4 linked regions of the Diceros bicornis minor genome follow. The protein of the gene in region 2 interacts with the protein of the main gene of each other region in a biochemical or structural test. Links are inferred from orthologs where the notes say so. Each region holds a gene or a part of one and is shown on either strand. Other genes may lie near its edges.

Evidence for each region.
Region 1: the proteins of EGFR (region 2) and GAB1 form a complex in vitro, tested with the Homo sapiens proteins (2 studies listed by BioGRID, with this or other methods). The link is inferred for Diceros bicornis minor from reciprocal best matches to the Homo sapiens genes EGFR and GAB1.
Region 3: the proteins of EGFR (region 2) and SLA form a complex in vitro, tested with the Homo sapiens proteins (2 studies listed by BioGRID and IntAct, with this or other methods). The link is inferred for Diceros bicornis minor from reciprocal best matches to the Homo sapiens genes EGFR and SLA.
Region 4: the proteins of EGFR (region 2) and PLCG1 form a complex in vitro, tested with the Homo sapiens proteins (2 studies listed by BioGRID and IntAct, with this or other methods). The link is inferred for Diceros bicornis minor from reciprocal best matches to the Homo sapiens genes EGFR and PLCG1.

The regions. Positions count from the first base shown.
Region 1 is NC_080750.1:33,150,820-33,158,560, reverse strand, and holds the start of GAB1 (GRB2-associated-binding protein 1), read right to left. Parts: upstream 3,014-7,741; 5' UTR 2,573-3,013; coding exon 2,501-2,572; intron 1-2,500. UniProt on the Homo sapiens protein: Adapter protein that plays a role in intracellular signaling cascades triggered by activated receptor-type kinases. Plays a role in FGFR1 signaling. Probably involved in signaling by the epidermal growth factor receptor (EGFR) and the insulin receptor (INSR).
Region 2 is NC_080780.1:11,022,776-11,030,343, forward strand, and holds the start of EGFR (epidermal growth factor receptor), read left to right. Parts: upstream 1-4,554; 5' UTR 4,555-4,773; coding exon 4,774-4,861; intron 4,862-7,568. UniProt on the Homo sapiens protein: Receptor tyrosine kinase binding ligands of the EGF family and activating several signaling cascades to convert extracellular cues into appropriate cellular responses.
Region 3 is NC_080760.1:47,016,020-47,023,738, forward strand, and holds the start of SLA (src-like-adapter), read right to left. Parts: upstream 3,010-7,719; 5' UTR 2,859-3,009; coding exon 2,681-2,858; intron 1-2,680. UniProt on the Homo sapiens protein: Adapter protein, which negatively regulates T-cell receptor (TCR) signaling. Inhibits T-cell antigen-receptor induced activation of nuclear factor of activated T-cells. Involved in the negative regulation of positive selection and mitosis of T-cells.
Region 4 is NC_080758.1:19,443,096-19,451,012, forward strand, and holds the start of PLCG1 (1-phosphatidylinositol 4,5-bisphosphate phosphodiesterase gamma-1), read right to left. Parts: upstream 3,008-7,917; 5' UTR 2,912-3,007; coding exon 2,695-2,911; intron 1-2,694. UniProt on the Homo sapiens protein: Mediates the production of the second messenger molecules diacylglycerol (DAG) and inositol 1,4,5-trisphosphate (IP3). Plays an important role in the regulation of intracellular signaling cascades.

The sequences.
Region 1 (7,741 bases), on a different chromosome or scaffold from region 2:
AGTTTCATTGTAACGTATAACACTTCAGTCACCCTCTTGGACCCCTCAATTCTAACAGCCACCCTGCCCAGTCTTCCTGGGCCATCTCCATGGCCCAGTCACTGGTGTGTAAAGAAAAGACTAGTGTTCCTCCAGGCAAGAAAACCCCGCCTCCTCCCAGCTAGCTGTTAGGCATATTCTTCCCCCTGTTGAAAACACAATTTAGGTAGCCTGCTGTCTCTCTCAAATATTCTCATGGTTTCAGACTACATTGGATTTGTTCCTCAAAACATCTATTAAAAAAAAAGAACAAACATACCACTCAGCTTGGGCACACAATGAGAAACCACTATGAATTGCTGGCTCACTTTTTCATGTATACTTGACCTATCTTCCCAAAGACCCAGAAAGCTGCTTGAAGGGTCTTACGTTTCTTGAGCACTGCACATCTGATCCACAGCCCACCTATTCCTCACATTCTCAACTAACATTCACAGACTTATAGAAAGTTATAATCTGAAAGGACCTTTAGCGATGATCTAGTCTGAGCTCTACCTGAAATGAACTAGATGAGAGGCATTAACCTTTTAGAGCCCAGTGAGTCAGGCAGATCTGGGTTCAAATCCCACCTCTGGTACATTCTAGTTATGTAGACTGTTTTCTCATCTGTAAAACAGAGATAACACCTACCGCATTAAACTGTTGTAACGACCAAATAAAATAATAAATACTTTTTTAAGTTAGACTTTCCTTTTTTTTTTGGTCCTTGTTATGACATAATCTTTTTGGCTGATTTTCTTCTTGGTTTATATTACATTAAATTGCAAGTCCAAGAGGCAGGGCTGTTTTCCTACTGTGTTTTCTAATCCTAGGGTGCCTAGTTCAGTGCTTAGCATCTTTTGACGGAGCCACAAACCAACCACGTGAAAGAATGCAGTAATTCTCTATTATCACTACCTATTTCAGCAAACATTTTGTTCTTTAGTTCCCCCAAGAACCCAATCACTTAGATCTATGTCTTTCCTAAAGTGTGCCCTCTCAAAACAAATACATCTCTCTCCCTACTCCCTCTTCTCACACACATACAACGTTCTCTTTAGAACTAAGAGCTGAAAAAAACTACTACTTCTCTCAAATTTTTGGAATAAAGTCAGCATCTTTACCATTAATATTCAGGCAAGCTGTGATAGGTGGAGAGACAGAATTTGGAAGGATGCAAAATCTCTGGAGAACTTTCTTAGGATTTGTGGCATCAAATCTTTAAATGAGAATTACTTGTCTATAACAAATTCTGGCAGAAAGTAAATCAGAACTCACTGCTGAGTTGTCAGTGAAGTTAAATATTTCACTCCATTCTATACAAGCAAACAGTGACTAATAGGATTAACCCGAGCTTTAACACTGGGTGTAGATGTCCTTCAACAAGAAACAGGTTCCATTAGAAGAAGTGTCAGCCCCCTGATAGTAAATTTATATTTTAGGGGGCATAAATTTTGCTTTTGAAATATATTTTACTAGAAAAATATTTGCTCCAAATGCCAGGGCAAAAGCATCAGTTCTTTCCTTTGCAGGGGGCAGCGACAAAAGCACCAATGGGGGAGAAGGGGCGAGATTTCAGACCCCTGAAGAAGACACAGATTTCCACCAAAGAAACATTGATTCTTTCAAGGAATTTTCTCCCTAACAGCTAAAACGGTTTAACACATAATCAGCATCTTGTATCAATCACACAAATACCATTTAAGCAACTCTGGTGGCCTGGGAAAGGACCGCAACAAACAGAAATCCTTACTGGCCCCAGCTGTCCCCTCCTGCAGAGCTTGACAGCGTGTCCAAGGCGCCCAAACACCAGCCACCAGGCTCCCCCCAGCGCCCTCCTCTCGCAGCAAACTGCCAAGGCTCTCGGGCCAAGCTCCAATGGCCCTCGATTCAAAACCGCGAAAATGTGAACCCTGTTAAGCAAACGGTAGAGCGCGTAATAACTTTTCTTTCCCTTCTGCGCCGATTTGAGATGCCTGTCTCTAATACTGACTTCTCAGGTCCACAGCCCGCTTCCCGCAACCCACCTCGAGGGAAAGCGAGAGGCGGCGCGGACCAGCGAGAGGGCTGGTGAGTTCTAAAATCTCCGCGGTTTTCCTAGTGCGGGAAACTGAGGACACAGCAGCCCCATAACGATGAGATGCAGCTATAAAGAAAGAATGGTCTTCTCCTCACCCCTGCTAAAAGGAATAATAGAAACACGCAGCGGGCGTTTAGCTGGACATGCCGGGCCCTCCTATGGGCCGAGAAGGCCCGCAAAGCCGGCGTCTGGAATCCAGAGGAGGAAAGTTGCCCGGCAAAGAGGAGGCCAGGGCGTGAGTGTCGACTCGGTCCCGAGCATGGGGAAGGGGTCGAGGGGGAAGAGATGGGGACTGACTTGGAGAAGCAGCCCCGCGCGCGGCCGGCTGCAGCCGCCGGCGAGCCGGCCGGGGAGGGGTGCGGGCGCGGAGGCCGGCGCGGCCGAGGCCGAAGCTGTACTTACATAACGCTTCAACTTTTTCTCCGGGGGGGACTTGCGGAGCCATCCCGAGCAGACCACTTCGCCGCCGCTCATGGTGCGCGCCTCTCCGGCTCCGCGCCGGGCAGCAGACGGGCGGCCGGGCGCGCTCCCGACACGGCCGACGCCCGCCGCCGCGCAGCGCCGAGGACCTGGCTCTCCGGCGGCGCAGCCCGGGCCGACGGGGCGGGCGGGCTCTGCGGCGCGCTGGCTCTCGGCGGCCGAGCCTCTCCCGCGCAGGTCCGCGGACGTCGACAGGGGCGGGCTGCGCCACCAAGGCCGACAGCTCCGGGCAGGGGCCGCCGCCGGGCCGAGGGCGCCCGCCTCACCGCCAGGCGCGCCGTCCCGCCGGCCGCCCCAGCAGCGCTCCGGCTCCGCGGGACTCTGACCCAGCAAAGCGCCGGAGCCTCGGTCCCCTGCGCTCCGCCCTCTAGGGACAGGACCTCCCCAGAGCGTTTTCCGAAACAGACACTACGCTGCACGCGTACACACACACACACACTCACTCACACACACAATGACCCCGCGCGGCGCCCACTCTGGCTCGCCCGCTCTCGGTTTCGGTGCGCCCCGGGCGATCTCCTTCCCCCTCCTCGGGGGAGGCTGGGTCACTTCCCCGCGGCGCCCAAAAGCGCGGAGGGAAGGGGGAGCCGCGAGGGTCCCGTGGGCAGCGGGCGCAGGGCAGGTCCCGGGCCACGGAGGGAGCCGCAGGGTCGGCGGCCAAGCGCGGGGCGTCGCCGGGCGGCGGGCGCTGGGGAGGGCGCAGGTCCCGCCGGAGGGTGGGTTCGCTCTCGCCGCCGCCGAAGAGGGCGGGAAGCGGCGGGGGGACGAGGCGCTCGGCTGCTGGGCTCCCGGGACTGATCCCACTGTCCCGTCCCCTCTCGCTCTTCCCGCGCCGCCTCCCCCACCCTGGGGCGCGCGGCAGGTTCTGAGCGGCCCGGCCCCCAGCCCCGATCCCTCCCTCTCCCGGCCTCCCGGCGCTCTCTTCCTCCCTTTCCTCCTCCCCTTCCCACGTTCAGGCCGGCTCAGGTTTCTGTCCAGACTTTCTCTGAAACTCCGCCAGAACGCTTCCAGCCAAAACAACAAGGGCCGGGGGAGGAGGGGACGGACGGAGGGAGGGAGCGAAGGAGGGAGGGAGCGGGAGTCCGAGAGGCACCCTGGGATCTGTAGTTCGAGAACCTGGAGCGGGGTCCTCGGCCGCCCGGCGGCGGTGGCGGCTGGAGCCCCCAGGGGGCTCCTCGCCGGGGAACGCGGCCGAGTCCTCGGAGAAGGCAGCGCCACCGGGGCTTGGGCGCGGGGAAGAGCGACTAACGTTCTTGTTCAGTCTGCGGTTTGCCATCTTGGCTCTGGCGGGTGTCACTTCGGAGTTTGTACTGTGCACGAAATCAGGAGTTGGGGGGGAGGGGTTGGGGCATGGGGTGGGTTTCTCTACTTGACAGCCTGCAAAGCAAAACAGCCTGGGGAGCCCACGGCGCCTTGGAGAGTCCGCGACCCCGCTGATCTCTGCCGGCGAGACTGAAGCCCCAGGACCGGGAGGGCGAAGGCGAAGGGGAGTGCGCCTTAGGGACCAGCCTGGCGGGGAGGACAGAGGGGGACCCACCCAGCCTGGCGTGGACTGGTCCCCGAAGCAACCCTGCCAGAGTGGTGGGAGCGCTTATCGGGGCCAAAGGATTTGACCGAGTCTGGCTCTGGGACATTTTAGTCTCACACTGCCTCCATTTGTTGCCAGTTTCTTCCACTGACTTCGTATTTCTTTAAAATCTACCCTTGGGATGTTGGACTAGAAAGGGAAACTTACTGGATGTCCTAGTTCTATTTGCCTATTTGTATGTGTTTTACAATTATGATCCCTGGTCCTGAGTTTAACATGATTGATCCTGTAATAGAAATATCTTTTCCACTTTTTTTATGAAAAACAAAGCCCCAAAACAAATTTTAGAAGGTAATATAAACAATCAGATAAAAGGAGATAAGTGAACATTTCTGGGAAAAATAACCTCAGGCATTTTCTTATTAACACATCATTCGTGTTCAGGAGTTCCTCTGAGTCTGAAAATGTACAATTATAGTAGGCTGGGGGTGGTGACAAGGGTCCCTGCACTTACGGAGGTGACATTCCCGCGGTCGCATAGGATAGTAAACAAATAAAAGGTCAACATAAGTACAGATTGTGATAAATGTGGTGCCCTGAGGGAAATAAACACACAGTAAGGTGAAAGGATAACTGGAGTGGACTAGGTCAGACAGAATAAGAAGGAAGTCTTCTTTGAGGAGGCCTTTAGCCAGAGATTTAAAAGATTAAAGAGAAGAGAATCAGACTTGTTTTGTGGAAACAAGGAAAACCATAAAGAGGATTGAGAGAAAGAACAAGCAAGAGGGGTTGTTGTTGTTTTTCTTAAATTTAAAGGCTTTTTAGAACATGAGTGTAAATTTTATGGCAGCTAATAAACCAAAGCGATTCTTTCTAAGTATGTGAACACAGATTTTGCCTCACGTCCTCCAAATGTGTTGTTGGCTTTAAAAAATTCACCACTCCCTCCACTCCTGTTGTAAAGTCCTTTTTAATGGAAAATGGTAGTATAATGTACTATTTACCTTTGGAAGTTCCAATAACTTTTTTATTTCAAATAAGGGATCCAATTATCTCATTTCTATATAAGAAATCTTTATTTTTCCCTATCTTCGACTGTGTTGTTTTAGATTTGTATTTGTAGAGATGAAATAAGGGTTGAGGAGAGGTTGAAGATAGATATGTCTCCATGTATGTATTTTAGGAAGGAAATTTACATTATTTTTATATTATATGCCGTTTTCAGATTATCTGTTAAACCATGTTCTATATCTTTGTATTTTAAAACGTATGCTGGAAAAAGCTATTATACGTGTCTTAAATTGCATTCATACAACAAATATTTATGGAACGTCCTAGTATGTGCAAGTCTCTGAGGATCTCAAATACAACAGAGAGGAAAGCCAGACCTGTTCCTGCACTCCTCAATCCCGGAGAAGTCTGTGTATGTTTTATTTTACAGATTACAGATAATTTTATTAAATTTTACAGATAATTTTATTTTACAAATAGTTAGCCCCATCACTTCTTCAATATGGTTGATAAATGTTGTGAAAGAAAAAAGAGAATGTGCAGCTATGACATACAACTATCTACTGGGGCTTTGGGGGAAAAAATAAATAAATAAATAAAAGAAAAAAGAGAGTCTTATTTGGGCATATAATAGGAGGATCTACCCCTTGGGAGAAGAGTGGTTAGATTTGGAAAGACTTCCCTGAGGAAAAGACTTTAAACTGAGATCCTCGGGATGAGTAGAAGTTGGCCTGGCCAAGTAGCGGAGGAGAACATTCTAGACAGAAGAGAAACTACAGAGAAACTCCTAGGTGTATAAGTCCTTAGGCTTGAAGGAGCTCCTGAATGAAGGCAGCAGTGAGGCAAGTGAGAGGGACATTGGGCTGAGTGAGGTTACAGAGGCAGGCAGGGGACAGATTGTGCAGCTCCTTGAAGATCATCTTTGAGTTTAGATTTTCCTTAGAGCAAATGATCATGTCATCGCCTGTGACCTTCAGATCGCCTCAAACAATCGCCCCTATGGACATTGTCATTCACCTCCGGCATCCCACCTTAACCATGTTATCTTCCAACTTGATCTTTCAAATTCTCCTCTATAATCATCTTTCTTCTCAACAACTGTTGTGGCCTATTGACTCCTCTGCTTTCTCATGATCCATCAGACCTCTCCTTACTTCACATCCCCGCTTATCCAGTTTAAATTTTGTGGTCCACATTTTTAATAACATGCTCCCAACTCACAAAACCCCAACTCTAGATGAACTCAACTCTACTCTCTTTTACACCCAAGCAGCTGAGTACTGTTGGAGCAAGTCACACAACAGGATGAGTGACATCACTATAAATTCGTGTTCAATGACCTCAAATACATCCTCAACTATCTGCAAGGGCAGATCTTGGTTTTCTGGAACTTGAAGCTTCTACAGTTTGGGGAGAGTCCTTTTAAAGGAAAAGAATATACAATTACAAATACAAAATTAGGATGAATATGTATTTAGAATGAAGAAATAAATAAAAAATTACTGGAGGCTTAGAGATACAGATGCCTTTCTTTTGAGATCTCTATGATTACCAGAATCCTAACGTGGATATGCTTCCTGAGTGCTTCCTGGTTTCCCTTCTCAACTAGGACACACCACCTCTTCCAGCAGCTCCCTATTCTCATGGGGACTTGTGCAATGAGGGTCTCCAAGCTGAAGCTTATTTAATTTCGTGGATGTCTCTGCTGCCTGCCAATCCCACTTCCTTTATCTGCATAGTGCAACTAGCCTATTTAATAACTTTTCTCTCTTTTTTTTTAAATAACAGCTTGATTGAGATATAATTCCTATACCAGAAAATTCACATTTTTTAAAGTTACAAGTCAGTGGTCTTTAGTATATTCAAATATTTCTTCAACCTCACCAGTATCTAATTTCAGAATATTTCATCGCCCCAAAAAGAAACTCCATTTCCATTAACGGTCACTCCCTATTCCTCCTTTCTTCCCCTCCTTGTAGCCCCTGACAACCAGTAATATTTCTGTTTCTATGGATTTGCCTCTTTTGGACATTTCATATAAATGGAATCAAACAATATGTGACCTTTTGTGACTGTGTCCTTTCACTTAGTGTAATGGTTTCAAAGTTCATCTATGTTGTAGTATGTATCAGTATTTCATTCCTTTCTTTTGCTAAATAATATTCCATTGTATGGATATACCACATTTTATTTATCCATCTATCAGTTGATGGACATTTGGATTGTTTCTACTTTTTGGCTATTATGAATAATGCTTGTGATAACTGAAACCTTCTTCAAACTTCTCAAATTTCCAAACCCTCCACCTTTTCCATCAACTGAAGATATTTCTTACAGCTTCACCAGAAAACCAAAGTGCTCAGATGGAAACTCCTTCAGCTTCTAGCCATTAAACATGCAAACCTACATACCATCTTCACTCCTCCTACTCTCCCTTCTTCTTATGGCAAATAGAGGACATTGCTTTCCTCCTATGATAGGCCAATCCCTCCACTTTATGCTTTGGATTTCATCCCATTGTACCTTCCCAAGAACCTTTCCCTATAAATGGTCTCTTCTCTATATATCTAAATACTCTACTCTCAATGAATTCTTTCTGTCACCTTTTGTGTGTATGTGTGTGT
Region 2 (7,568 bases):
AACCTGGCTCACAGGTGGTCAGATATACTCATTTCTGATCAGTACCATATATATATGCCTACAGAATGTTAACCATAATAATGATAAGGTATAATCATGAGCTTTGATAAAATTTGTGCTTTTATATTACTCCATATTTGAAATATGCTAATTTGAAGTGAGGTCTATCATGATATATAATGTATTATGACCTCTGGACCAAAATCTATCAACAAATGTAGATGAGATGAGGAAGAATGAGTTGGATAGAGAAAGGAAGATAAGGGAGAGAGGAAAACCAGAGATGAGAATCATACCTATAAAGTGGCAATAGCATTATTTAACCAGGAAGGGTGAGGCTGCAAACTTGAATGCTTACAGTAGCCACGCAGGCCCCATGAACTGGTGAATCAGGCTTGGTGGTGTTGGTGAGAGCTGGAGACTTAATGTCCTTTCTGAAGGGGACAGTTATCACCCAGCCAATTGCCATCTTGCATGAAAGCAGACCCAGTTGGCAGTTGGCCAGCACTTCCCATTTTTCAAGAGAAACATAAAATTTAAAATCATATTTTAAATATGAAATCTCCTGATTTTTAAATGATGCCATTAATTCAATTAAAAGAAATATTGAGTGGGCCCCACAAAACCACATCTGTATCCTAAACTTGGTCTGCAAGCCACCAGTTGCAACCTTGAGGCTAATATTTCTAATGATAACCACCCCTGAGACAAGTAGTGACACCTTGGACAAAATTATTTAATCTCAGTTTTAAACCTTTAACATAGGCAAAGCATTGTGCAGGGTCCAGAAATTTCCTATAAGATCCCGATGCAAAGTAATTAACAAGCAACAAAGCCAGAAACTAATGTTCAAAACAGAGATCCTGCTTTCCAAGCATTACATAACCCTCAACCCTAGAGATAACGATAAATACTAATGACATACAACACTAATAAGAATACTAATGACAAATGAATGCCTCAGCAGTTTTGTGTCAGCATATTATCCCTGAGAAAGAAGTTGTTTCTTCCATATTCTCAACTCAGAGTCAAGTGCATATAACTTGACTCAAAAGAAGAGAGCAAATGGCGGAGGAAACCAAGAAAGGCTGCCACCAGGAGTGCCCAGGAACCTCAACAAGGTCACCTACTGAGGTCACTGACCCTTACCTTACAGAAATAGGCCATGCCTGCTCACAGTACAAGATTGCAAAGGTATAAATGGACAGACAGTTGAAAAATAAGTCTCCCTCCAAACCCTGATCTCCAGCTACCTAATTATCCTCCCCAGTGGCAACCCTGTTACCACATTCTTGTGTCTTCTTAAAATGTATCTTTAGAAGAGCTGTTGAGTCCATGTACATTGAAATAGAAGCCTATGTTAGAAATGCATGTTCCCACGGAATTTTAGGATTGGAAGGGACCTGGTTCAGTCCTTAATTCACAGTCTCCCTTAGCACTGCTCCTGCATACAAATCTTTCTAAGGATGGAGAAACTCATTCCACTCAGAGGCAGCTCATTCCACTTTTAGATAGCTCCAGTAGTTTATAAAAGATAATTTTTTTAATTCTGAAATCTGCCCCTCTGATGTTTTTCCTCATTAATCCTTGCTTTGACCTCAAAGGCCAGAGAAAACAGGTGGTCAAATGCCTCTGGCCTAAGACGGAACTCAAAACATTCGAAGCCTTCCTATCATCATCCTGCAAAATAACTCCAGTTTCTCCTCTCCTTCCACAAGGTATGTGATTTCTGGGGATTCCCTGCCATGTTCCTTCCAGAAAAGATTAAACTCATTTAAATACTCAGAAGCCTCTTCCAAGAGGAAAAATGCTCATCAGAGAAGGAAAAAAAAAAAGTTTCCCATTTGTAGATGGCAAAGAGAATGAACAGCTTGTGTTAGGAAAATTGACAGCACATATGAGAGTTAATGTGGGATATACTACGGTTGCAGTACATGCTTGCTAATATGGTGTACGTGGATGCTTTATCTAGGAAGTTTTTGGCCAAGCAGAAATTTTGGTTGTACCTCCTCTAAAAAGTTTCCAAGATATTCTGAAACAGAATTTGGGGTCCCAAAGTCTCTATCTGTCTCAGGTTTAGAAAAGTTGCAGCAAAAGAGTAAAGAAGAACATGGCCTAGATTTGGGTTCAAGGCTGGCCTCATACTAGCAAGTACGCTTGGGGACTTCGGACAAGCGATTTATTTAATGCTGCTAAGACACAGCATCACCCTGTCATAAAAGGCAGACAAAGGTGTAACCTGGCTTACAGCGGTCAGATAAGCTCATTTCTGATCAGTACCTAGCAGCATGCAGCCAGGGTTCCTGGTGCTGTTCCTGTGGCGGCAGCCTTCGCCTGGGATGTGGCCTGGGATGTGACTTGGGATCACTCCCTGCAGAGACTGGATGCCCAAGCACCCTCTATGCATAGCTCAGCCTAGGCAAGGCTCCGTTTTCTCAAGAGGATGTCATTTCTGCCAGCTTGGCCATTAGTTTTTTTACTTAACAAGTAACACAGTTATCAGTACACTCCATGTACCTGCCAAGGGGTACAAAAGCATCCTGAATGCCTCACAAGCTCAGAGCAGAAACTCAAACTTAACACAGGTGTCCCAGGAGGATCTTTAACTCACCCGTTCCTCTCCCTTCGCTGGGATCAACCCACTATTGGGTTGTGTGCCTGAAGTGTCACACTGTCTCCTTGGGGAATTGTTTTCACAAAGCTCTGCTTCTTGAGATGCCATCAGATCATGTGGAGGGACATTATAAGAAGACAGCACCGTGAAGGTGGTGCTGTCTATTCTAAAAGCAGTCAGTGAGAGCTGGGATACCTTCACACACTGTGTGCTTCGGGGGATTCATGGGATAAATTTCTATGCAGTCTTAAAGATTAGTTGTAGCTTCAGTTGATTAGTGTATTAACATATGGACAATAGATTTGTGCCACCTCTCATGTTTCCTTGACAGATGGCTTAGAGCCAAATCGGTGGCCCTTGCTGAGGAAATGCAGGACCTGGGTGTGCGCAGGTCTTCTCTAAGACTCTCTCCTGGCTTCACTCTACCTTCCACTGTTGTGTTTCCAGTTTGACCTTCTCTAATTTGTGTAATTTTTCTGTAGCTGTGTCTTTACATACTTCTTGAAGTCCTTGTTCGGAACATGTGGAGGGAACCAAACCCATAGCCTGCAGAATCTTCATAGCCTTTTCCACCCAGGGGCTAAACGAGTTCAGAGGGCTCAGTGGTCTTCCTGATTTCTTAAAACAAATGAACACAAATGACTCTCAGTTCAGAGGAAAAGTCATGGGCTCTGTGGATGGTGAGGAGCCCGGTGCCCTACCCTTGCTGGGTGGAAAGGAAGGATGCACAGTTCCTCTCCTCCATGGACAGGAAAGGTCCCAGTCTTAACTCCATTTCCTTTAGGTTTGTGATCCCTTCTTCAACAGTGGGGAGACCAGCGCTGAACCTGCCTGAATGTCACCAGTGGATCTTGGGAGGAGAAGAGGGGATTTGGTTGTAAAATGGGGCCTGAGGACATGTATCCTGTGGGCGGAGGGGCAGTGGGAGTAGGGCAGACTTCGCTGAGAGAGTTGAGCTCAAGTTCCTGCAGCCCGAGAAAGCATACTTTCTTCTGGCCAAACGCTTAGCAGATTTCCCTGGCTTTTCTCCTGCTTGGGTTACGTGTGCTGTCTCAGGACAATGGGGCACCTGGCTTCTCTAAAAGTGTAATTTTTCGCAAAGTTTTGCGAGGTAATTTACCCCATTTATTTGCTTTTCAAGTACCCCTGGATGATTCCCGGCATATGAAACGCTGTGGGTTCCCTCGGTACTCATGCATTCATTCAACAAACATTTCCCAAGGCCTGTCTCTGTGCCAGGAGTCGGGTGCCCTCATTTCAGACGATTTCGAGGGTGACAGGATCTGAAGGCCTCTCGTACCTGAGAGCACCCTCTCAGACACCTGGCACAGCAAGGCGCAGCAAAGGACAACTAGGCTGCCAGGCTAGCCTCCGACCCCCCACTAGGATCCCGGGGTGCTGTGGAGGAGTTGGGGGCCAGAGTACAGGGGTTTTTTTCCTCATCCCATCCTGGGCCTAAGGCTCAGCTAGTCTGCCCAGAGCTGGTACAAGTTCGCTCCTCAAGTTAGAGGGTGGGGCGGGGAAATGGGAACCCTGTACAAATGAGGATCGACGAAGGCTGGCCCCGGAGAGAGCAGGGCGAGTCCTCGCGGACCGGGTCCTGGGGGACAGCGCAGGGAACGCCCCACTCGGAAGTTAACTCTTACGGGCACCCTCGGGTCCCGCACGCCGCCCCCGCTCCCGCCCTCACTGAGCGCTCGGGCCCACGGGGGCCACCGCCGTCCCCACCTCCTAGTGGCTGCCTGCCTGTGGTCCTAGCTGCTGGCTCTGCCTCCCTCCTCCTCGTATTCTGCTCCTCCTCTGCTCCTCCCGATCCCTCCTCCTCCTCCTGGTCCCTCCTCCTTCCAGCCCAGCCTTCGCTCCCGCGCCCCCGCCCCGCGAGCTAGACGTCTGGGCAGCCCCCAGCGCAGCGCGGCGGCCGCAGCCTCCGCCCCCGGCACGGTGTGCACGCCCGCGGCCAGGGCGGCCGAATCCCGCGCGAGCCCCGAGCGAGCCCCGGCCGCCGCCTCCCGGTCCGGGCAACAGGCTACCTCCGCGTCCGCCGGAGTCCCCGCCTCGCCGCCGCCGCCGCGCACGGCGCCCGACTCCGACTCCCACTCCGACTCCGACTCCGTCCGGGGCTAATTGCGGAGACCCGGAGCGAGCGTCTCGGAGGCAGGATGCGATCGTCGGGGACGGTCGGCGCCGCGCTCCTGGTGCTGCTGGCTGCGCACTTCCAGGCGAGTCCGGCGCTGGAGGAGAAGAAAGGTAAGGGCGTGCCCCCCGGCCCCGCGCCGCCGTCCCGGCCCAGCCCGCGCTCGGCGCACCGGCTCCGCGTCCCGCGCCGCCCGCCGCTCCTCTCCTGTTTCCTTGAGGGTCGGCTGCGCCTCTGGCCGGGACCGTGGGAGGCAGTGGACGTTTCGTTTCTGGGCTGGGCGAGTCCGCGGCGGCCCGAGGAGGGGACACTCCGGACGCGGGGCCGCGGGGCTGCGGGCGGGTGTGGGAACTGTCGCCCGGAGCTCGGCGCCCGGAGCGCTCGCAACTTTCCGGCTTCACTTTCCTGCCTTCCTGCGCGGGGTCGACGGCCGAGGGAGAAAACTTGACACGGGGTGGGCGCGGGGCGGCTCGTGTTTCCGCACGTGCGCCCCGGGCTGTCACCTGGGGGTCCAACCGTGCCGGGGGACTCCCCCGAGGGGCTTAGGGAAGCTGAGGACGGACCGGCGGGAATCCACCCCACTCCTCTCCGACCTCCTGGGACAGGAGCGGACGCTCCGCGTCTCACACTTAAGGTGGCTCGCTGCACCCGGCCTTGCCAGCCTGGGTCCCGGCCCCGCTCTTGGGTCCTTGCAAGCCCTTTTCCCGGGTGTGGAGCCGCAGCCTTGAACCGGGAGGCCGGAGAACTCGTCTGCCACTACCTACCTGTGGCTACCGGGAAGGGAGGACTTAGTTTCGTCTTCGGCAAGAGAAGGAGGGTGAGGTCGGACCCCGCCTGGGGCGCAGATCCTTCGCTCCGCGCGGTCTTGCTGCCGCCCCGGGACCCAGGCTCCCTGCCAGCCCAGAGCTCCCTCCCCGGCGCCCTCGCCCCTTGAGCGCGTGGGTCTCGTGAAGTGGTGGCTTCCTGGGAACTCTCGAGATTTGGCCCCACCTGCTGCCCTTTGGTCACCTCTCTAGGCTTTGCGGTGGAGCTGGACAGAGCGGTGGGACCGGCCGCGGCTGGACAGCTGGGTCCTGGTGCCGACCTCTCTGTGGGCGGAACCCATCTGGCCAGGTCCCCATAGTTTTTCAAAATAAGGCTCATAGCAAACTTTCCACCTCAAAATCCCCAGATTTTTTCTTTGGGATGTTTCTTTTAGCTTTTTGAAGAGTATGACATTGGGCCAACCAAAATATTAAACTTAATTGAAAAAAGAAAGGACTGATATCCATGGTGCACGTGTGGCAAATGTCCAGACCCAGCCTGAGCGAGTCTGGCTTCGTGAGTACCGACCATATAGGCACTTGACCTGAGAAACATGCCTCGGAAGGTTTAATTGCACAGTTTCAAAATCGAGCAGCCCGGGTTCCAAGAGTCAGGTCTGTACTTGCTGGTGATGCCATTGGCACAGAGAAGAGGAGTTTGAGGCTGAGTGCGTTTGTTGGGGGAGCGTTAAGGCATAAAGCAGTGGTTCCCAAACTTTGTTGCAAATTAGAATCACTTGGGATTTAAAACGAAACAACAAAAATCGATGTCTGGCTCCCACCTCTAGACATGCTGATTTCATTGGTCTGGGGTGAGACCTGGGCATCCGGGTTTTTAAAAGCTCCTCAGGTGATTCTGTTGGATAGCGAGGTTTGGGGAACCCTGGCACAGAGGAGAGATTGGTCAAGTCTTGGGAAAGATTACCTGCCAATGTAAGGAGCTCTTTTGGAACTTCTGGAGTTCTAACAATCTTGCAAAATGTGGGACAGAGGAGGTGGGAGGTGATTTCAATACTAAGGGATTAGTCTTTTCCCTGAAAGCTTTTCCTCTCTATGGAGGCTGCAGGGTTCTGCCTCCTCCGTGCTGTGCCCCAGTGGCTGTGAGCCTGTTCCTGAATTGGCTGACTGCAGGGTTCTCTGAGGCAGGTGATCTCTCCCTTTTTGCTGCAGGGGACCCCATCCTTATTCTAGATTAAACTCTTAGAGCGCCTCCAAAGCATCACTTCTCACTCCAGAAATGATCCCAGCTCATTGCTGTTACCTGTTTGAACACTGCTATTAGTGCTTGGAGATTTGTTTCTGAGAAGAACATAAATACCACTTATTTTGCCTGTTAGTCCCATATTTGCTTAAAACAGAATGCTCCTGAATAAAATAGTGAGTGTAGGTGAACACATGTCATTCAGTTAAAGTAACATGAAAAGACCAAATTTAAGGAGCAAATTAGTAAAAATATAAGATGAGGTCTTTTTACAAAAAGCGTCGAAGACTCATATCAATCAAATTTAGTCAGTTTTGTTCAGGAAAATTTACTCATTTTAAAGAGATTTATTTGGTTCTGAGATATGGTATCTTCTGTTCTTTGTTGCACTTAGTACTGTCAGACACTGTTTCAAGTGTCCTTTTAGTCCTTACATCAAGCATGTGATGTGGGTACCCTCATTATATGTGAGGAAACTGAGGTACAGAGAGGTAAAGTGACTTTCCCAGTTAGTAAGAGGCAGAACCAGGATTTGAACTCAGGCCTTCCAGCCCCAGAGCCCTCCCTCAACCACCTGCCTCCACTGCCTTGCGTGAGTCCTGGTTTTAGGAAAGCCAGGGTAAGTGTGTGTGAGCGTCTAACGTCAGATGCTGGGACAGGGAGGGAAGGGCCCGGGAACAGGCTCGTTAGGAAGGCCCCTTGTGTGAGTCTGTTCACGGTCTAGACTGCTGCTCACAATTACTCAGTGGTCACCGTGGCCACCTTTCGTGAAGGCAGCTGTCACCAAATTAACCGTGAACTTGGAAATTGCGCGAG
Region 3 (7,719 bases), on a different chromosome or scaffold from region 2:
ATATTTGTAGAATTATAGAGAAAGTGAGCTATTTGGGATGATTTGGAAACAAGTCATGGAATCCCCAATTTTACCACTTTAAAACTTTTTGGGGGATGGCCATTTAGACATAACCCAGTACAATGAGATAACCCCAAATGGAGTTAAAAAAAAAAAAGGAATTCCACCCACATTTATCAGGTAGCTACTTTGTGCTATGTGATTGCTGGGAGGGAGGGATTGTTCTGATCTCCTCTGAGAACTGAGTCCCCCCAGCCCCCGTGGGAGCCCGAGGAACTTACACAAGGTCATACAGCTCCCAGGGGACAGCACCAGAAACTCAACAAGGCCATTTGCCTATGAGACCTGCCCTGTTTCCATCAAGTCCTGCTCTCTCTGTGGGTTTTGTGATATTAGTCTCTAGGGACTAGACTAATCAGGAATGTTCTGGAAAGCTTAGGTTAGGAGAAAACAGATGGGCAAAGCTGCCTTCCAAGGCATTCACAGTCCTGGTTTGGAGGAATAATGATCTAAAAGCTCAGAAAAGTCCACAGGTTGGCCTCTTGCCCATCCCCGCACAGGGCTGGCGCCTTTGGTGCTTTTTACTCTGCACCACTCATGTTAAAGTCAGAGGAAGCTCCAATTGTGTGTCGGCCTAAAGCAACCAGCTCCCTGCACTGTACCACCTCCTAGGCATCTGAGACTAGCTACATGAGTAAGCGTGAGCGTTAGCTGAGAAGGTGCTCGTCCTGTGAAAAGCCAAAGAGAGGCTCATTAGTGCAGCATCATCTGCACCACCTTCTCCTTATTCAAGTAGGTGTCAGAGAAAAGAGGAAATCAAGTTGGGACTGATCAGAAGGGAAACTTTTCAGGGGTGGGGGATGGAGAAGCCACCCGCCAGGGCTTGATGTGGTTGCTTGGATCACAACTGGGTACCACCTGGGGAATTCTCTTCGCCGGGGGTGGAGGGGTGGGGAGACCCCTCCACCTCCTTTCTAGAGGTGACCTCCCACCCACACAGTGGAAAAAGAGAAACTTACTTTATGACTATTTGCATTTAAAAAATAAAGGCAAATGGGCAAGTCCTAGGAGGCCCGTGTTTTCATGGGGTTTGCTCAAGCATGCCACCCCCCGGCCCCAGGGTGAGAGGTGACAGTACAAGATGGATTCGGTGGACGAGGGCCTCCTGAGCCGGCCCGGGCCCTGGGCATTACAGTGTCAGCTTTCTAGAAGTGGCTGTGACGGGAGGAGGAGGCTATGACTTGAGCTGGTTTGGAGAAGGCGGGAGAAGTGGCCTGGGCTCTCCCGGCGGCAGCAGGGGGGGGCCACTCTGCACAGCTGCACAATTCTGAGCTTTAAATGCGAGGTCAAGGGCCCCACTACACACTCCGCTCCTCCTAGCACGCGCTTCCCTCCCCTTTGTCCTTTTCCACCTGAGGTTTGGGGAGGGGAGGTACTGGGCTAGAAAGGAGAGCCCCTGGAGTTGCCCTGCATCTGACTTGAGCGGGCAGTAGGGCAGCAGGTCTCTGTGTGTTCACGTCAGGGCATCTGAGGGGCCCTGCGACCATGCCTAAGCTGGGTGTCTCTGTTTGGGAGGAAGTGGGAAGGCTTCTTTTTAAGGGGCCACAGAAATCGTGGAATAAGCAGTACACAGAGGCAGGGTGGGAGCCTGGCTCTGTCCACTCCGATGCTGAGTTGCAGCTCAGCTGACTATGGTGGCCACCTGTGCATGTGAAATTTGCCCAGTGCACTGTGCAGGGGGCATGGGGAATCAGGCTTAGTCACCCCTGTCAGGAGAGGGAGCTCGGGCCCTGAGCACTGTGACGTAAGGGGGAAGGCAGAAGTGTCCCAAGGTTCCCCATGACTCACCTGGGGAACACGGACGAGTCACTTGACCTCCTCACCATCCCCTTCCCAACTCCCTAGAGGACCTACACAGTGCACCCGCCAATGCCCTGACTAGGAAATAGGGGCCAGTGTGTTCAAGGCAACCAGTACCACTGGCCCCTGAACCGCTGATGCCCTCCGCCAGCTCCCTGGCCAAGCCCCGAAGAGCTCTGTAGCTTCAGGAGTCTGGCTCAACCTGGCATCTCCAGAAAAAGCTGACTTTTGTCATCACTGATTAACCTGTGACATTATGCCATCCCCCTAGAACGCCTGAACCCTGTGATGCTACCAGCGGAGCACAAGGATCCTGTTATTTTCAGGAAGATTTCCTAAGGCTCAAGTCTGGCTTTGTGACGTTTCACCAAAAAAGCCATGCAGAGCTGTGCTGATATTCTATACCCAGCATAAATCATATCACCCGCTGGCAGGGTGCAGTAAGCAAGAGCCTAGGTTTCAGAATCAGACTGGCCCGGGTGGGAAATACGACTCTACAAACAGCTAACGAGACAAACTACATTCCCTTTGTGGGCCTCAGTTTCCCCACCTATAAAATAAAGGGATTGAACCAGCTGCTCTGGAAGATTCATCACAAAATCCTAGCGAATCAGCATCCTTCCAGGGCACGATGGCTCAATCTTTTTTAACACTTAATTATGAAAATGTTAACTACAAGCAAAGCGAGAGAGACCAGTATAATGAAGCCCTATGTACCCACTGCCCTGTTTCCACAGTGAGCAGTATCCCCCATCACCCCATCTTCGCCCCAGACTCTCGTGGGATGGAGTTAAGCATCCGCCAAAGAAGCCAGACTTACCATCGGGGTTGGGCAGAGGCCTCTCGGGAGGCGCCGGAGTGGATCTCATGCTGTTTCCCATCTCTCTCTCTCTCTGGACTGTCGAAGATGCTCGAAGCCTATGGCACGGGGGATACACACAGAAAGTCAACTGCGCGCCGAGCCCTCGGGGTGGAGAATGACCCAGTTTAGAGCACATCGTGCATCATTTTTCAGGCAGCTCGCTCCTTGAAAGGCGGGTGTTTTTAGGTGAAGATGAGCCTCGTGAATGTTGGTTATATTTACGCAGCTCTAGTTCTTTTATCAAGGGAATGACAGAGAAAAACCACAGAGAGGGAAGTTGCTAGCTAACGCTGTTGGTGGCGAAAGTTTCCATTCCTGCGCACGCTGGCTGACAGTGAGCAGCAGTGTTTGTGTGAGCGATGAGTGGCAGTTCACATGGCCTCGTCGGGTCTCTCCTCCCATGAGCCCGGCCCTCAACTCCCTGCACCGGGAATTGGGGGCACTTAAAATGGAGTTAAGGGGGTGAGGAGAGGGTACTTCCTGTTTCAACTTTCCCTCTTCTGTTGGAGTTTCTCAACATGCTCTCACAAACAGCGAAAAAGGGAAACTCCATAACAATGCCATATGTTTGCAGAACAAGTCACGTGCCCCTGCTGCCCTTGTGCATCTGCTGTTACTCTTGATTATGGTGTAGTCCCTGCACCCCTAACCCCATGTTGCAGTGAAGGAAACTTGAGTCTCAGAGAGGGTAAGGGACTTGCTAAGGTCACACGGCACGTAACCGTGGGGCCGGGATTGGAACTGCTGATGCTATGTCTCCGCTTTGTTCCATAGTGGTTCAAATTCTGGGTCTGTGCGTCCAAGCTAGGTGACCTTGGGCAAGTTGTTGACCTTCTCCTGTCTGTTTTGGGGAATAATAATCAAACAACATTGGGTTGTGGCTGCAAAATTAACAGATAAAGCGCGTGGAGCACTTAGAACATGGCCTGGCTTAAAATCCGTTTTAGTTATTGCCATCTACAGTCTATTTTCTGATTGCCCATAGTGATAAAAGCATGAATTCTGGGGCTTCATACAAGTATTTCAGAAAGGGGCTTAAGTGATTACAGAATGAAAGTGTCCTCCCAGGCTGCTAGAGGCACAGAGAAGAAGGCCACACCCATAGACAGAGCTGTTTGTGTCTCGTGGGGACACAGAGGAGAACTGATGAGGCAGGTTCCCCCAGGGGGTGTTCAGCCCAACTAGAAACTTGCACCCCACCCCATTCTTTGTCTGCAGTTTAGGATCAAGGCCTTAGGAGTTTGAAATGGTCCAAAAGTCAGCCCATCCAACCGCCACCCTGGCATTAAATTCTTCCTCTTTGTACTAAACATTCAGATTCTGGACAGATCTGTGCTCTCAGAGCAAGGCCTTTCAGAGGTTGAGGGAGGTGTGCGCCACTTCCTAATTTTGGGCAGAGGGGGAGTGAGATGGGATACCTAGTATATTAGGAAACAGGGGAAACCAAAATGAGTGTTTTTTGAAAGTTAATATATTTTAAATATTTACATGAAAAGTTCATCAGTTATAAGTCAAACTAATAGATTGTTATATAACCGTGCTGTTCCCAAGATAATTAGAGGCTTTGCAACAGACTATAAACTCATAATGCACCACAGAAGGTGTGGCTGAATGGGCCATATGTTCAAAGTTAAGAATCCCGGGTCCTCTTCAATCAGGTTGGTCTTCATGATGGGAAACCATGGGGATGTCTGAGGGTGAGGCCCCTCCCGATGTGAGGCCCGGCCCTTCTTTCTCCATCTCGCCCCCTCTGCCCCATATACAGCTAAGGGGACGCCTTTGACCCTGGCAGGGCCTTTCCTGCAGGCTGGGCAGGCTGGGCAGTCTTTAACAGCATCACCTTGGTTCCAGGGGGCAGGGACAAGTTGTCTCTGTCCCTAACACCCAGCCTAGCGTAGGCATTCGAGAAAACGTGCTCCAAAAAAGTGCTTGAAAAACCATGCCTGGTGGAGTGGCTGGAAGCCTCATTCCCTGCAGTTCAGCAGACACCTAAGGAGCGTCTCCCTGCTGGGCCCTGAGCTGGCACCCCGAGAAAGGCAGGTCCATGTGACCCCACCTGCTGACAGGGGAAGCAGCCACCTCTGAGGCCTCACCTTAGACATGGGCAGGGAAGGAGCAAATCAAGTGGCCTCTGACTCTGAGGTGCTGGCACCCCGTGTGGTCTACGCAGATGTCCCACTGAGGCCTCCCGCCACCTCTGTCCTGCTCCACATGCCTTCCTGGAGCCCACTAGTCACCCCAGTCCCTCAGCCTTCCCATCTGTCATTGCCAAGGCCTTTGGGCTTCTGGAGAAAGCTCTCAGGCAGGCTGAGGAGAGGCCCTGGCAGGCCTCCCATGCAGAGAGAACTCTGAAACCTGTGCACTGGCTTCAGCCCCTCAGTTTCTCAAGTGTCCCCACACTGCAGAGCACTGTGCTGTCACTTGACTCCTCTAACCATGCCATTCTGTTCCCTGGAGTCTGACACTTGGCATCAAGGATCAATTAAACACCAGAGATTATGCCTTTAACCCTGCCCCAGAGCGCCCGCTTGGAGTATCAACTCCCACCCCTCCAGACATCCCAGGTGCCCCTTGCCTCCGGCCTGTCCGAGCCTTCCCCCTCCCTCCATCTTTTTCCTCTGAGCTGTTTCCAAGAAACAACCTCCAGCTGGCCCTCACATCCATCTCATCCCTTCCCTTACATCGCAATTCTAGAAAACTCGTCATGAAAAGACTTGGTTATCTATCAAAGTGAATTCCAACTTCACCCCTCTTCCCAATGACTTTAGAATTCTTCTCAAACATTCATGTGCTATTTGTGGGGATTCATGGAATCCAGTACAGGAAAAAAAAGACACTTGAAACTTGCATTTTTCAGATGGGAAAACTGAGGTCCATCCAAGAAAAGAAACATACCCAGGGTCTCGAGATGAGAAAGGTGGAGTAGATCCTAGGAGCCTGGATTCTTCTGCTTTGGCACAGCCCTCTCCCTGTTTCTGTCTGGTAGGTCGGTGTGTGCACGCTGAGAGCAGGCGCTGGGGCCGGGCTACAGCCCATCATGCCCTGCGCGGTTCAGAAAACCCATCAGCTCTCAACAGCCCCTTAGTGGTCTGCTCACTGGCTTCCTCTAGTCTCCAGGAAGGAGTTAACTTATCTTTTTTTTTTTATTTGAGAAGAGTGAAATGCCCCCAGAGAATGAGAGCTGGAGTCTCCCTGATGAACCGACTGAGCAATTTGATTTAATCTGTGACAGTTTTATGCGGTGGCTGGAGGTGGGAGAGAGGGTATGAGAGACATAATTGCTTCTAGGAATAATAAGAAGAGGGCAAAAGAGAAATGAGTTCATTAACGTTGGCTCTGAAAATGCTTGATTTCTTTCTCTCTTTTCTTTGTGATGTCAAAGGATCCGAACTGGCGTTTGCCTCTGATGTTCCCCCCAGTCTTTGGACCAATGCTGTCTTCTTTGCATGACCTTGGGCCTCAGTTTACTCTTCTGAAAAATGACATGAGTGGAAAAGATGATCCCCAAAGAGAGGCACTTAACCCCTTTTAATTCTAGCAATCAAGACTCAATGGCTTTTTGAAAATTATTAGTAAGAGAAAAGAACCATCATCACTTTCTTATAAAGTCCCAGTAGACAGGATCCAAACCTTGTCTTTATGTTCTTCAGGATCAAGGGAAGGCCATTCATCTGTGTTCTACACCCACCTTCTGCTGGGCAATTAGCAGACACCATTGCATTTAATCTTCCCAGCATCCCTGGGAGGCAGATATTCATCCTTCACCTTCTTGGTGTGGAGGTCATCCCCTGCTCCCAGAGCAAGGATTCAGGGATGCAGGGATGCAGGGATGCAGGGTGCTCACGTATCTCTCCTGACTTCAGAACCCATGTCCTTTCTCTGGGGCCGTGCTACTCTCTCTCCACAGGGAAGAAGAGAGATCACCTAGGAACTCTGGTCCGTGAATGGCTGGCTGCCATTTGAGCGGACCCACAGCATGGAGAGGTCACACCTGCGGGGGGTTGCTGTCAGGAATGCAGGATGTGCCTTCTCCAGCCAGGTTTCTGTTTGACTAGATCAGGGATGCTTTTATCGCATGCTCTGCACTGTCTTATAAACACAGGGGTTCAGGCTTCTCAGAACCTTCCATTCCCGGGGCAGCATCCCAGAACAGTTCTATGTGCTTTATCCTCTTTCTGCTTCTAAAAGCCAGGCCTCGCTGTTAGAAAGGAAGGTTGCCTGAACCTCTTCATAGCATGCCACGGTGGGAGAGCTTGAGGAGCCCTGGCCAAGGGAAGCAGGTCTAGACTCTGTAGAAAAACCAGGAATAGCTGGAAAACCTCGGTGACAGTGGGAATTAATATAAAACCTACTTAGGGATGCAGCCTTCCCTTTGGCCTTAGAAACTTCTTGCACATAGTGGGACAGCTGTAAGCCCATTCACATGACCTGCTTCTAAGGTGTGGGAGCATGATGCCTTAAGTGGGGCCCCTCACTGTCCACCATATCCGAACCCCAACAGCAGCAGTAATCACCAGAACTCCCCCCCCGACAACCGTGGTTGATCAGCGCTTACCCTCTGCCAGGCACCGGGCTAAGCATTTTATGGCCGTCATACCCCGGTTGCTCACAATACCCCCACTTTACAGATGAGATGAAATGAGTAACTTGTGCAAAGTTATATGACTAGTAAGAGGGAAAGCAAGGGTTCAAACCAGGTCTGCCTGACTCCAAAGCTTGTGCTTTCAACCACTGAAATGCTGTCCTGCTTTCTTGGTTCAGTTTAAGACTGCAACCGAAAAGTGATTTTTTAAAGTCATCAGAGCAAACTTCAGGGGCCATAAACTTTTGGGTGAAACTTCAGTGCAAGAGACACGGAGGTCCCGAGGGGTCTCTTGGATCTCAGGTGGCAATGTTTGGAAGCCCAGGTCTGGGGATCTGGCTGGGGGGAGCAGAAGGGACAGGAGAGAGAGGCCAGTTAAGGTTTGCTCAGGTCTCAGCTGCCATGGCCTCTCTTA
Region 4 (7,917 bases), on a different chromosome or scaffold from region 2:
TCACACTGGCTCTCTTTCAGGGCCACGGACACCCTGAGGGTAGCAGAAGTGTCTCTCTCTTTGGTCAGGCTACAGGCACTGTGTGGTACCCTGGCAGGGTCAGCAGGAAAAGGCCAGGCACCTGAGGCACCTGGGCAAGGGGCTAGGTGGCAGGGGACCCAGCTGGCAGCCCAACCTTCCTCAGAGCCCGCAGAGGGTGGCTGCTGGGATCAGAAGCACCAACGACGTGTGCTCATGAAGGGGCAAAGTAGGGCAGCTCAGTGGGAGGCTCCATCTCCAAGGTCTGTGCTGCACATAAGCACCTAAGAGCCTTTTTACCAGACTCCTTCAATCCAGGCCTCCAAAATCAAAGGGCCAAGGCACCTTCTATGCCCTGTGCCTACGCTCCAGGCCTCTCAAATCCCAGCTAACTGATGAGACCACTGAATTTGTACCCCTCTGGCTGACCCACCCTTGGGGACTGGGGTCATCAGGTCCTCTGCATTCCTACCTCCATCCCCCAAAGACCTGAGACACCATGGATTAAACTCTTCCCTTTCCACACCCCTTCCTTCTGTTCAGGCCCCAACATACAAATAAGAAAGTCACAGCCAGAAGTCAGATGTGTACATCTCCATATACTTACTCTATACACTGTTCTCCATGGTGGGTGGATGGGTGAGTAGATGGGTTGGGGCAAAACAAAACCATTTCCTCCCCTTTTCCGGGTAGTGATCTAAGTGAAATATGAACTTGGTCCCCATCCTCCTCCCTTCCTGCACCCTCACCCGCTCCGACAGCCACTCTCCAACTCCCTCAACATTCCCAGTCCAGGGTCTAGGAGGGCAGCCACAGTCTACTACTGTTACTGTTATTATTAATAACAGCTCATATTTATTAAACATTTACAACGTGTCAGGCACTGTGCTATTTACCTGTTACATCAATTTTCTCATTTAATGCCCAGAACAACCATATACAGTCGATATATTACTCCCATTTTACAGTTGAGGAAACTAAGGCTCAGAGAAGGTAAGTAACTGGCCGGGGACACACAACTAATATATGGGCTTCAAATCCAGCCTTGCCTTCAACCACTGTGCTGCACTTATTAGCTGCTGGTCACGCACCTGGTCTGAAATGCAGCCTGTTACCCAGGAGATCTCTACCTGGGAACCTCCAGCCAATAACTGGGAACCAGTGACACCAATTCAGCAGAGCACAGGGAGCACCACAGAAGCAAGGGGCCATGCCTGGAGTCTGATGCCTGGGTGATGTTCCCGGGACTATCTCAGCTCTCTGCAGTGTCTGTCTTCCTCCACTTCGGAATCCAGTTTCTCAAATCACTAAAATTTTCTCCAAATGGCTGACAGGGCGATGGGGGCATGGAGGAGGGCAGCTGCCATTTCTAAGTTCAGCAACTGTGTCAGATCTGGAGTTTGTAGTTGAGGACGGCTGCCTCACCACAAGACCTTCCTTCCTCCTAATCTCCTCAACCATCTGTGTGCATGTACACCATACCCAAGGAGGTCTGTAGGAGCTTCCCTTGGGGGTGTCGCTTCCTGACCCTCCTTCCTCCACGTGGACCTAGTTCTGAGCCTGGCTCTAACACCAGTCTCTGGGGGTCCCTGCAGGAAGCAACCCACAGTGTGGGGTTGCAGACACATCATCTCTCACACCTGGAGGCTGAGGAATGGAGGGCAAAGCTGGGTGCCCATCTGGTCATGGCACAGACACAAGCTAAGTGGAGTAACACTCTGAAATATATGGGGCTTTTCAAAATCCCCCAACTCCCTCCTCCCAACTGAGACCTGCACAAAGGCAAGCAAGCTCAGGCCTGGGAAGGCAAAGAGGCAGGAAATCAAGAGTAGCCGCTCCCGGCTCCCTGCAGCCAGGGGACGCAGGACACAAAGGGCTAGACCCCAAACAGGCTGCGAGCTCTTGAAAAGAGCATCTGATTCCATATAGCACAGAGGCTGGCCTTTCTGGGACCAAGCTCCAAGCGTACGGGGAGCCTGGTCCCTTGACCAAGAGTCCCTGCACTGGCTTTGGGTGTCTCTGCCCACCCACACAGACCTCCAAAATTCAGCTTCAGGACAAAAGCAGCAGCGGGAAAAAGCTGCCACTGTCTTCTCTCAGGCTTCTCCAAACCAGAGGGGGACGAGTAGGCCCGGCTCTGCTCCAAAACCAGCCCTACCTCAACATCTGCCTAAGTTCTACTTCGGTGACCCAAAGGTTCCTTTGCAAATAAGAGCCCAGCCCGGGGTCCCAGCGGCTTTCACCAAAACTGCACTTTTTGGAGAAAGGGTGGTGGGCGGTGATCGTCCGGTCTGGCCCAAGTCCTGGGCCTGGGTGGGGGATGCTGCCTTGGCTCCCCTCGCCTCGGCGGACACCACTCCCGGGGTGTGGGGGACCCGATGCCTGCCCCACTGCTCTCCAACCCGCTAGGATCTTGAGGCTTCTGGGCAAAGCGCCTGGAACACTCCCCCGAGCTGGGGGAGGGGGGCGTCCTGTCAGGTGACTGAAGACCCGGATGCCCCCCGCCCCCGGTGACCACCGGGGCCGCGGCGGGGGCGGGACCCGGAGGGTGCGGGGAGGGCCTGAAAGTTTGCCCAAGTCACTCCAGCGGCCGGCCGGCCGGGGCGCGCGGGAGCCGGGCGCCGACCCCTACCGCCCCCGCGCGCGCAGCGGGCCCCGGGGACGGGGCGCACTTACTGGCCCCCTCGATCTTGTCCGCGCCGCGGCTCCACGTGATCTGCCGCGTCTCCAGCTTGACCTGGAAGGTCTTCCGCTCGGGCCGCTGCGACTTCTTGGAGTAGAACAAAGTCATGACGGTGCCCACCTCGAGGCTGCGGCAGAGGTGCAGCACCTCGGCGTCCGAGGGCGCGCCGGGCCCGCAGCCGTTGGCGCAGGGGGACGCGGCGCCCGCCATGGCTCCGGCGCGGGGGGCGGCGGCGCAGGCCGGGCAGGGGGGAGCCGGCGGCGGCGACGGCTCAGGCGGCTGGCGAGCGGGCCCCGGCGGCGGCTCCTGCGGGCGGAGACGGGGCGGGCCTGAGTGGGGGGCGGGCCGGCCCCGCAGGCCCCGCCCCGGCCCGCGCGCCGGGAACAAAGGCGCCCGCACGCCCGTGGGGAGGACCCCCGCCCGCCGCCCGCCGCGCCTGCGCCCCGCGACCCCCCGGACAGGCCCGGGGCGCAATGGCGGCGGGAGCGCGCGCGCCGCCGGCGGGCCACCAGCCCGACCTCCGTCCTGCGGGGCTCCCTCCCGTGGCCCCGGACACGGCCTGGCGGCCACTGCCGACCCGCCACGCGCGGCAGCCTCGCACCGACCCGGCAGTCAGTCGCACACGCACAGGCGGCCGCCCACTCCGCTGTCCCGCACAGGCCCAGCCGCAGCCGTTTCCTCAGCCCCGCTTCCCGAGCGCCGCCCGTGCCGCGACCGGGAGGAGGTGAGGATGCGGAGCTACCCCCGGGCCCGCCGGCCAAACCTAATTACCTGGGCGGGCTGCCCGGCGGAGGGACCCAGGCCAGGCCGGGCCGCCTCACACCCGCGGCGGCGGCGGCGGCGGCGGCGGCGGCGGCGGCGGGTCCTCCGCGCGCCCTCTCAGGGGAGGGGCGGGGGCGGGGCTGCCTGCGGATTGGCCGGCGGGCTCTGATGGACAGCAGGCCTGTCTTGCCCCTCCTCTCTGGTCCCGCAGGGCTGGACCGCAGGCCGCTCCTGCGACGGCGGGACCCGCGTCTGTCCAGCGCTTTTGGCCTGTGTAGCTTTGGAGGGTCCCGTCATTCGGCCTGAGCATCGCCTGCAGGGCCTTTAGACCTGCGGCCCCCGGCGACCTTCCTCTCTGCCCCTCGCAGGGGCCACTGCCCGCCCACCTCCCGCCCTGTCTCCACGCGGCAGGGCGCGGGCTCAGGCCTTACCTCACCGCGCCCCCCCTTGCAAATGATCTGCGGAGCTTTTGTTTTCCTGGCCTGACTCCCCTTGTTTTCCTCCTCCCTCTCTGGCCGCTGCCTTTCGGCCTCAGAAGCTTCTCTTCCTCTGGGCTGGGTCCTGAGCCAGTTCCCAAGGCGACCTGACCTTTCCCATGGCTTCACCCCCAACCCAGGCACCTGGAGCGCCAGATCTGTATTTCCCCTGCATCCCACTGCCTGCTCCACGTCCCCACTTAACACACTCATCTCACCTCCCTCCTCCAACTGCGCCTCCCACAGTCTTTGCTTTCTCAGAACACGGCATAAACTCCTGTAAGGTGCTTAGGCCAAAACCGTTTGGACATATCCTTGATTCCTCTCTCTGCCTCAACCCCACAGCAGTCCATCAAGTCTAGGTCACTCTACCCTCAGGTATCTACTACACCCACAAGCCCAAGGCCCATCTTTTCTCACCTGGTCTGTTTACCCTTGGCCTTGCCTGCATCTGTTCTCCATGCTTTAATCTTTAAAATGAAACTAAATCATGATCCCCTACCTCTGTCCTCAACCCTTTTGTGACTTCCCATTGCACATAAAATCCACACTCCCTTCCTGGCCCAGCCAGTCCTGTATGGTCTGGCCCTTTTCTCTCTCCTTTCTCTCTCCCCCACTTCATCTCTCACCACCTCCCCTTCACTCTCCACTCTCCAGCCACAAGTCCTTTTTATGCTTATTTGAATGATTCACACTCTTTGTCTTCCTGAAGCCATTCTTTAGACTCGCCCTTGCAATCTGGCTGCCCCGCACCGCCAAAACCGAAAACACCTGCGGTCACAGTGGAACCTGGCTGACAGATGTTGAGCCAGGCAGAGCAGGACAGCTTACCTCATTTCAGAGGAGAGAAGCCCGGCAGAGCCCCCAGCTGATGCCAGAGGAAGATCCAGGTTTCCTGGAGTTTGTGAGTATGTGAGTGTGTGCTCAGGCACTCTACCCAGCTGGGTGGTGACTAGTGTCTGGGGCTGCCTCTGGCTTTGTGTTGATGTAGTGGTAACTTGTGTGTGTATGTTTTGATTCCCTCAAGTGTGGCCCCTAAGAGGCTGAGAATTCAGCCTCAAGTTGAGATGCTTGTGCTAATAGGCTTCAGCCACCTAAGGGGAGGTGGAGTGGCTGAGATGGTCTGCCACCTAGTGACGGGCCTTTAAAGTGGGAGGGAGGTAACTAAAGTTGACCCAGTGCTTATAATGCGTACACATGTGGTCACACCTGATCCTCATAATTACCCTCTAATTAGGGATTATTGTCCCCAATTTACTGATGAGGAAACTGAGATTCAGAGAAGATCCACAACTTGCTCTGAGGCCACATAACTAATAAATGGGGATTTGAACCCAAGTCTGTCTGACTCCATGCATTTTCTGCCTCACAAGAGAGCCACTGGCTTAAATAGGTCCTGGCGGTCCATAGCCAGTGGGCACGGAGGCTAGCTGGCTAATCAGGATGGGTGGGGGAGGCCCTAGGCATGGCTGGCCCTGGGCACAGGGAACTCAGCAGAATGTGTATGCTCATAGAGTGTGGGTTGGGCTGGCTTGGGCTTAAAGTGATGCTGCCCCTGTCTGTGGCCTCTGAACATCCCTGTGCTAGACATTGGTGCCGTGAGTTGGGAGAATGAGGGAAACCCAGCATCAGCACTCCAGGAATTCATAGACATTAAACAGATAAACACTCTGTGATGTAGGGACAATTTTGATGGGGGCTACAGAGGAAAAGAACAGAGGGCCATGAGATAAAACTTTAAGGAGACCTCCTTCAGATCTAGTAGACAAGGAAGACTTCTCCAGGACTCAGCAGAGGCCTAAAGGATGTGAGTAGATGGCCAGGTGAATTATCAGAGGTGGGTTGGAGGAAAGTACTTTCCAGACAGAGGTAACAGCATGTACAAAGGCCCTGAGGCCAGCAAGAACTTAGTGAGTTTAGGAATAGAAAGAAGGTTAGTTTGCTAAGTGAGGGGGAGCATGGGAGGTGATGAGGCCAGGAAGACAGGTGGGGGCCCCTCTGTGCTTATGTGGTCTTGTCCATCTTTCCAGGAGGTCCCCTCCTAAGTGCTACAGCCCTCGTTTAGCTTCTTGTGCCGAGTTGGGCAGCCTGCAGGCCGTGATGCCCTTTTAAAATCTCTGTTTCTCCATTTTCTAAGAGCTTCCCGACATGCAGCCCATACTTCCTTGCTTTTGCTTTTGCTTTTGCCTCCGGAGCCGGGCCCCCAGGGGCTCCAGAAATCCCTGCCAACAGGAGCTCATATTGTCAGTCTGCTGCCGGGCCCTTAATCAGGAAACAGGGCCCCATTTCCTCCTGGGACTTCTGAGCCAGCATCCCAGGCCTCAGGTGCCTCCCTCCACCAAAGGAGGTTCAGGAAAAGCAGGTCACACAGCGGGTATGGCTAGTATGGGCTTCCCCCAGCTCAGCATATATATATGGATACGTGGGTGTAACTGGCAATGTGTGCAGCTGGACCGGCTGGGAGGGAGCAGCCCAGCACCCACACGAGGCACACGCCCATGACATTGCCCAGGCTAGCCCTGCTTGGGCCTATTTCTGTCAACACTCGTGCTTTAACATGCTCTGGCCCACACCACACCTGTGCCTGGAGTCTAGGGAGGAGTCCTAGCCCAATGTCCCTCTGGACCTCATAGGTGTTTATTTTATTTTATCTTATTTACCGAACACTTAGAACAGTGCTTGACATATTGTAAGCCTTATGTAACTGCTTTACCCACATTGGCTTACTCCTCATTACAGCACAGTGAGATATGTACTCTTATTATCCCCATTTTACAGATGAGAAAACCGAGGCATGGAGAGATTAAGAGACATGCTCATGGACACACAGCTAAGAGGTGGCAGAGATGGGATTCAAACCCAGGCAGCCTGGCTCCAGAGTCAATGCTACCTTGCCTCCCATATAGGTATGAACATTTTATTGTGTATCCTCACCCTTTTCCATGATACCCCTACCTGATGTCTTTTCTATTTTTATTTATTTGGTTAAATGTTGTCACAGGTTGGGTTCTTTGGGAGGCAGGCTCTATGACAGAGGTTAGTGTGAAGAATGTTTATTAGGGAGTGCCCTTGGGCTCAACACTGTGGAAGGGGAAGGAAGGAAGCAGGAGGAGGCACAGAGAGTAGTTAGACTGTGAGGCAGGCCTGATGACAGCCTCAGCCAGCCCCTGGGGAGCTCTGTGGTCCGGTGCTGGCTTGAAATGGCTGGGCCTTCATAGCCCCGCCTCAATCAGCCATTGGATGTGGGCTGCCCTGGGAAGAGCACAGCCTCTGCTAGACAGCTCTCTGCAGCTGAGGTGATCTTAGGGGGCTGACAGGTCTCCCAGCAGTTGGGCAACAAGTGCTTCCCTGAAGGGGAATCTGAGTGGCACATCACTGCCCACCACAAATATATTCTTTTCCAGTCCTTTAAAAAAGTTTAAAGTACTTAAGACAAATGACAAACATATTGTACTATAGAAATGGGATATGCTGTTATAAAAAGGAGGAATATTATATGGTTAATACATATTACCATGGCCGCTGTTATTGAGAATCAAATGTGGCTGAGCTTCCTGGTAGCCAAAGCAAAAACTCTATTCTGATAACTGACTCTTTGGGGGAGAAAAATTTTCCTGGGGTTAAATTATAAAAGAAGTTTCTCATATGGACACTTATTTGATTGAAATAGTGGAGAATGTTCTTAACAGATAAAAGCAAATGCTAATGCAGTTTTCATTTGTTCCTTATAATAACCATGTATGAATACAAAAGGTGTAATATAAAAGTATAGCTCAGTGAAGCCCCGTCCACAATTGAAGATAGGCAGATTTATAGACTTGCAGTGTCTAATCCACACATAAAACTTGATCCCTTTTCTTTAAACAGTTCTTTAATGTTTACTGAGTAGTTTCTTATGTTAGATGTCTGACCAGCCCATCTCTGGATCTGTGAGCCAGCCAGCCTGTACCTCAGCATACAGCCAGTACTTAATTAGTC